Rattus norvegicus: one gene and its partner. The protein of the gene in region 2 binds, or shares a complex with, the protein of the main gene of each other region. Links are inferred from orthologs where the notes say so. Each region holds a gene or a part of one and is shown on either strand. Other genes may lie near its edges.

Region 1 (3,652 bases), on a different chromosome or scaffold from region 2:
AGGAAAAACCACAGAGGCTTTGGGAGTCATGGCTGGGATTTGGGTCCTTGTGTAGGTTTGCTGATGCTGTTTGCAGGACGGTCTGGCTTTGCGCTGAGGTCCTTGTGGGGCTTTCTCCAGTCTTCCCTTGGTTTAGCACCACCCGCTATTTGGGGTTGCCCTGAATGAAAAGTGTTTAGGTGTTTGATTGGGTGCATGAGTCCTACCTCCTCCCCAACAGGTAGGCCCTGAGGTCCAAGTGCTGCAGGTGTGAAGGCCTGACTCTCGGGGTCCTTCTGACTAAGGCTGACGGTGTCTGGAGGGCCAGGAGGTGTGAGCATAGCTTGTGCTAGCCTACCTAGCTTCCCTAGCGGCACCCCTGGGGTGTAGTGCTGTGGCAGTGTTTACAACTCCAAGGCAGATGAGAAATGTGCTTTGGGTGAAATTCCCAGATACCTTTTCTCTGGAGGGCCTGGGAGTGAGTGAAGACTCAGTCCTCTCTGCTATAGCCAGATTAGACTCGAACATCACACTACACAGGCTGGGCAAAAGGCCAGAAGCATGGGGCTATGTGTGGGCCCAGTGACCTGATGGAATGGGCACCCGGTAAGCTCCACACGCCCAAGGCTCGTTCTTGTCCTGTGGGGTGGGTAAGTCATTTGTTCAGCCCTAGAAGGCAGTGATGAGGCCTTTTAGGAACAGTGATAAGGGCAGTGAGCAGGATGGGCAGCGTCCTGATGACCTCTTGCCTGTCTGAACAGACTGCCTGCTGATGCTGGTCTACAAGGACAGGTGTGAACGTTCAAAGGGCCTGCGGGAGCGCAGCAGCCTCACCCTGGAGGACATCTGTGGCCTGGAGCCTGCCCTGCCCTATGAGGGCCTGGCCCACACCCTGGCTATCATCTGCCTGTCTCAGGCCATCATGCTGGGCTTTGACAGCCACGAGGCCATGTGTGCCTGGGACACTCGTATCCGCTATGCATTGGGCGAGGGTGAGTGCCGCAAGGGTGGGGTTTGAGGTGAGGCCCCAGGGTCCGTCACCACTGTGGGCTGCAGAGATGAGTAAGGACCCAGGGAATCTTGTAGAAATGATGCACACGGGTAGATGTCTCAGAGTAAAAGCCAGGCAGGCCCTCATGGGTACTCAGGCCAGGGCTAGGCATGAACTCGGTGCAGAGGCTCTTTGAAGTCCCTAAAAGACCCTGTCAAAACTGGATCCCTTAGCTAACCAAGCTGGCCCAAGCCATTTAAGTAAGGGCACTCCCTAACCCCACCCTTTGGGTGGCACCTGTTCTGTACTATCCCAGAGCCCATGCTGAGGGACCCATGGGAGCCATGGGATTGACCTGCAGGGCCTCAGGGTAAAAGGAGAGAACCAACTTCAGAAAATTGTCCCCTGATCTCTACAGGCACACAGTGGCATGTGTGCATCTGCATTCCCACATGTCTCCCCCCTTCCCCCTCCCCTCCCCCTCCCCCTCACAGTGATGATACAATGATGTGTCAACAGTAGTGATAATTATGGTGATGGTGGTGATGGTGATGGTGATAAATGAACACATTGCCCGCTGCCTACCCATGCTGAGATTTAGGCAGTGGAGGAGGAAGCTTTGCTTTCATCCATCCAAGAACAGCAGAGCCTGGTGGACCTTTATTTAGCCTAGAGTCGTGGTGTGGACAGTGCAGTGAAGGTACAGGGCAGGCAATATTTGCTAGAAGCTCTCATCTTTCTAGAGAGTTCTCTGGCGCTGGTTCATAGCGTGGTTGCACCCCCCACCCCCATTCAGGCAGGACAGGGGTCCTCCCAACAATGTGGTGGGCTTCCCAGGTCCCTCTGTAGATGTTAAGAGAAAGCTGATGTGGTTGGACAGACCCCTGTAGAAGGGTGGGCTTGCAGGACAAACCCAAGGCCACAGCTGAAAGAGGACAAGGTGACGTCATTGCTAGGGTCCTCTGGCTCTGGGGTCTGGATATGAAGTGGGCAGGAGGCTGGCACGTGGGTACTACAGGGAGAGGCTGCTGTGGTTCACAGGGAGAGACCTATGAAGTGGGGTGCTCTAAGAGATGGGGGGAAAGGGAGGCTGGAATTCTGGCTGTGCTCCCTAAGGGCTTTCAGGCAAAGGGCTGCACTGACTGTAGATATAACTATGGCATCTAGCTGCCTCTGAGCCATGCTAGTCCCAGACAGACCTGCCAATCATTGCCTCCTAGTCTATACACAGGATGAAACATACTCCACTCCTGAACTTTGCTTTCCCATCTCTGAAATGGGAGCACATTGGCTGCCTTGATGGAAAGGGGCCACAAGGAGTGTCCTCAGAGCTGGGCAGTCTCCTCAGAGAACTTGCTTGTTTCTGGCTAGGGAAGATCCTGGAATATGGGTGGGATATAAGTGGGGCCCTCTGACAGCTTAGTACTTCCCGGCATATGTCCTTCATTCTTGGTTGAGTGGCCGTGAGAGCATGGCCCCTGCCTGATCATCTCCTCCCAGCTCATTCACCCCGGTAATGCCCTTTTCTCCGCTGTCTGGTCCTCAGTGCATCGGTTCCATGTGACGGTAGCTCCTGGCACCAAACTGGAGAGTGGTCCAGCCACTCTTCATCTCTGCAATGACATCCTGGTCCTGGCCAGAGACATCCCTCCAACTGTCACGGGGCAGTGGAAGTTGTCTGATCTCCGGCGTTATGGGGCTGTGCCAAATGGATTCATCTTTGAAGGCGGGACCAGGTGTGGGTACTGTAAGTATGCTGTGTGGGGGACACTGGGGACACTGGGGACACTTGAGCTGATTGGCCTACGCATGTTGGCTTGGGCACCTGACGGGAGGCTGTAGTCTGTTTCTCCAAGCAACAGGGCTGCAGTTGCTTAAGCCAGGCATTGACTTGCCCATTGGCTGTTTCTGGGGATGGGAGGGAGCTTGAGGGATCCTGGGAAACCCCAGAGAGCAGCTTCATGTCACTCTATGGCTTGTGTATGAGGTCAGTGTGGGGCATGACTGGGGTCCTGTGGATGCCACAGTTAGAGAAGTACATTCACTGACCCAAAAGTCCAACAGCCCAGTGGTTCCCAACCTTCCTAACGCTGAGACCCCTTAGTACAGTTCCTCCTGTGGTGGCGACTTCCTATCATAAAATTAATTTTGTTACTTCTTCATAGCTGTGATTTTGCTACTGTTATGGACCATAATGTAAATATCTGATATATAGGATATCTGATGTGCGACTCCTGTGAAAGGGTCATTCAATCCCCAACCAGGTCAAAATACTCAGATTGAGAAGCAGTGCCTTAGACAGACCAACTGCCATGACTGCTGTGCTGCCCAGAGCTGCCTGCATGTCAACAGCGAGGCAGGGTGGGAAGGGTGGATCTGACCTGGGAGGTGGAAAGGTCCTACCCCGAGTCCCCAGGGCCACACCATGCTTGTCTCCACTCACAGTGACCAGGGTGAGGTGAGTGCAGAGGTCGCCATGCAACAGCCACGATGGGCTGGCCTCTGGTAGCCAGGATGGGAGCTCGGCAGGTGGTTGGTGTTTGGAGGACAGGGAGGCCTTTCATACCAGAAGTGAGGTGCTCCAGTGACCTCCCCCTATGCTGCTCTCTATGGGGGCTGCGTACAATGTTGTGGAGTTCAGACTTGCAGTCACCGAAGGGTCAGAACCCTTTTCCTCTCCTG
Region 2 (3,652 bases):
AAACTATAATATATAGTGAACCATGACACTGCCTCACAAGCAAATGTTCAGTAAGGATTGTCACCACTGTCCCAATAAACAAGTGACAACGTAGCCCACATGGGAATGTACTGAGCACTGCAGTAACAGACCGTTCTTAAAGCTAAGTTTTTTCCGTGGGAGCAATTGTTCTGTTCTCTCGTCTGTTATCCGCTGGGATGAATGCTTTCCTTGGATTATACCAGTTTATGTGCAGGAAATATGTGAGCTGACTGCAGTTAGAACAATCATATTTATGTATAACATAAACAACAAAAATGCCCAAATTCACTCTGTTGACCATTTCCAAAGCTTGCCACAGCCTTTGCCACAGCCTGAGGTGTCTAGAGATGACCGGGTTGGTGCCAGAAATGGAGAGAATATTCATAAGAAACATTTCGATACATTTGTCAGGACAGTCTCTCTATTTCTGTGATGTGTGTGTGTGTGTGTGTCTTTGTGTGTGTGTGTCTTTGTGTGTGTGTGTGTATGTCTGTGTGTGTGTGTGTGTGTGTGTGTGTGTGTGTGTGTGTGTGTAATGGATGCCAAGAAATTGCTGACGATTGGCTTTGCCCTTCATCACCTCTTTCAGCAAATCACAGAAAGAAAGCAAAGGCTACTGTGCCCAGTACAGAGGGGAGGTGTGTGATGCCGTCCTGGTGAAAGACTCTCTTGTCTTCTTCAACACCTCCTATCCCGACCCTGAGGAGGCCCAAGAGCTGCTGATCCACACTGCGTGGAATGAACTCAAGGCTGTGAGCCCACTCTGCCGACCAGCTGCCGAGGCTCTGCTGTGTAATCACCTCTTCCAGGAGTGCAGCTCTGGAGTGCTACCTACTCCTATGCCCATTTGCAGGTAAAACTTTGAAAATGAGCCAGTAAAAAAATGCGTTTTTTGCCTCACTGTATGCCAACAGTTTGCCAAAGAAGGAATTGCCATGAGCGGAAAGTCAGACAAATTTTGCCATTTGCCCAAAAGAAATAATTAAAGCATGAAATCCCTCCCATTATAACCACTGAGGGCAATCTATGATACAAATGCTCTGAACTTACAGAAAATCTTAGAGTCTGGGTCAGTCAGAAAGTTGTCTTGTATACCGCAAACAAGCTCTGTGACTTACGTGTGCATATGTATGCACACACAAGTAAAACTCACTCCTTTATAAGGACATAGGACCCCTGTCATACCCCTCCCTGTGTGTATGTGTGTGCATGTGCACATGTGTATGTGCATGTAATGTATTTTAGTGTGTATGTGAGTGAATACGTGTGTGTTCGTGTGTGTGTGTGTGTGTGTGTGTGTGTGTGTGTGTGTGTGTGTCAGTACTTGGCTAAACCCAAGCCCTTTAGTACTTTAATTATTTTCCCTTTTAAGTTATCGTCCTTTTATTATTAGGCCTACCAATCTTAACTTGGAATTACCCAGGTTTCTCTTGATGTAGTTTGTCCTAGAACACTCGAATAGACATTAACGTCCAGATTTTAGTTAGCCCATTCAGTCTTTCTTCAGCTGCTCCACTCATTACACAACATCTCCAAACCTAAGGGCTACACTGAGGGCGGGGCTCTGCTTCTCCAGGGCAGGGCTGGCTAAGGAACCCAAAGCGCCCCTGTCAGCTGTTACAGGAGATGGTGCCGTTTTTCAGGGACCAACGCAGGCAGAACCTCTAAGTGTAGCCTGCTCCTTTCTCCAGCTCTGCCCATCAGCCCAGAGGTGATGGCTTCTCTTCCTTAGTTCGTATGTTCTTTAAATTGTCAACTTGGTTTCTGTATCTTTTTTTTTTCCCCCGGAGCTGGGGACTGAACCCAGGGCCTTGTGTTTGCTAGGCAAGCGCTCTACCACTGAGCTAAATCCCCAACCCCGGTTTCTGTATCTTTATTTTTAAGGTTTACTTATTTATTCTATTTTATGTGTTTAAATGTTTTTCTCTATGCATGTATGTGCACCATTTAGGTGCCTTTTGCACCCCCCTGGAGCTAGTTACAGGTGATTGCAAGCCACCACATGGGTGCTGGGAATTAAACCTGATCTTCTGCAAGGGTAGCAAACAAGTGCTTTTACTCTGAGCTATCTCTCCAGCACCTGCTCCTTTGTTTTTAATATGAACTTTGAGAGAAGATCTACCAGGACTCTTATCTAATTCATTCTAAATTTGAAAAAAAAAACACTAAACAAGATAGTATTTAATTTCACAGCGTAATACACCATGTCTTTAATGTTTTGCATTATTTAAGGTATAGTCATTTCAAAAATGCTTTTATAAGGGAAACACTACAATGTGACGATGTTTCAAAAATACAAAATTTAAGCCCCACTGCAAGTTTGGCTTCAACTCGTCATGATTCATCAAGTCTTGCTCGCCTTACATTCTAGAGAGTACTGCTTGGCAGTAAAGGAGCTCTTCTGTGCAAAGGAATGGCTGGCAATGGAAGGGAAGACCCACCGCGGACTCTACAGATCCGGGATGCATTTCCTCCCGGTCCCGGAGTGCAGCAAGCTTCCCAGCATGCACCAGGACCCCACAGCCTGCACAAGACTGCCGTATTTAGGTAACAAAGAATTTCCTCCAGACTTTGGAAGTTAAGGAAATTTTTTTTTCTTACTGTTTTCAGCCACGTTAAGGTATATACTTAAAGCTCCTAACATTTTTAGACTTTCTAGGCTGTTCTAATAATATTTTTTGCTTTGCCATTTCTACACACAAAATAGCAGAATCATAATGCTCTCCTAATTGCATAGGTTATCATAAAAACTCATTTCACTTGTTTTCAAATAAATTAAAGGGCACTTTTAACTGCTGCTTGGATCTTGCTTTATTTCTTACTGGATCTTACAAGTGTATCGTTTTCTGGAATGTATGCAAAAACGGCTAGGAAACATCTTACAGTTTGTCAGGGGAATGGCGTAACGGAATAAATAATCCTCTTCCTTAGCCAACGATGCAGATTTTTTAAGCATGCAGAAATAAGCCACATGTTTGAAAATGCTGACCTCATCAAATACAACTGAGCCACTGCATGACGACTGGTTTAATTTCAAAGATGCACTCTTCACATTTGAACGCTCGTCTGTCATTCATTTAAATGCTGAGCGGGAAAGCCGTGTTTCTTAGCTATAGCTCACAGGGTCTAGGAGGTATGTATCTTAACACTTACTTAAAATCGATTTTTATCCTTTCCCCCTCAGATTATAAAAAAGAAAACATAACAAGTAAGTAATTTTGTTTGTGCCTCTGAAATCTGTGTCTGTAAGTGGATTCGTGCATGTATATTTATACTACGCTTCTCTAAATCCAGAACACAGTGTACTGGGCGAGCATCATTAGCGCCTGCGCACAAGTGTCGGACTGAGCTCATCCACTCCCTTAGCTTCTGGCTTCTAAGTAGAACATGGAGAATGTGTGACACTTAGTGAGGGGAACAAATACTATCTTCTATCTCAAGATGGCTGGCCTGTTTTATACTTCATATGTTTGCAAACTCAGTCCAGTTTAAATGTAGCCTTCTGATTCTGCAGTCACAATTTTGTATTATGTAATTATTTCTGGATGGAAACAAATACTATTTTTTTCTCTATTGAGGTGATTCGTGATCTTTATTTGTGACAAGTATATCTGTTTTGAAAAAAAGGTGT

Evidence for each region. Proteins that work in one complex are often made in the same cells at the same time.
Region 1: the proteins of Musk (region 2) and Dok7 are in contact, whole or in part, in a crystal structure (PDB 3ML4), measured with the Mus musculus proteins. The link is inferred for Rattus norvegicus from reciprocal best matches to the Homo sapiens genes MUSK and DOK7. Residues at the interface, in NP_035074.2 of Mus musculus: Leu547, His548, Pro549, Asn550, Pro551, Met552, Tyr553, Gln554, Arg555; in NP_001335203.1 of Mus musculus: Leu154, Ser155, Asp156, Leu157, Arg158, Arg159, Tyr160, Gly161, Gly172, Thr173, Arg174, Ser193, Asp197, Val200, Arg201.

What each region holds. Positions count from the first base shown.
Region 1 is NC_086032.1:79,913,980-79,917,631, reverse strand, and holds part of Dok7 (protein Dok-7), read left to right. Parts: intron 1-740; coding exon 741-971; intron 972-2,516; coding exon 2,517-2,717; intron 2,718-3,652. UniProt on the Homo sapiens protein: Probable muscle-intrinsic activator of MUSK that plays an essential role in neuromuscular synaptogenesis. Acts in aneural activation of MUSK and subsequent acetylcholine receptor (AchR) clustering in myotubes. Induces autophosphorylation of MUSK.
Region 2 is NC_086023.1:77,940,682-77,944,333, forward strand, and holds part of Musk (muscle, skeletal receptor tyrosine protein kinase precursor), read left to right. Parts: intron 1-610; coding exon 611-874; intron 875-2,392; coding exon 2,393-2,568; intron 2,569-3,205; coding exon 3,206-3,229; intron 3,230-3,652.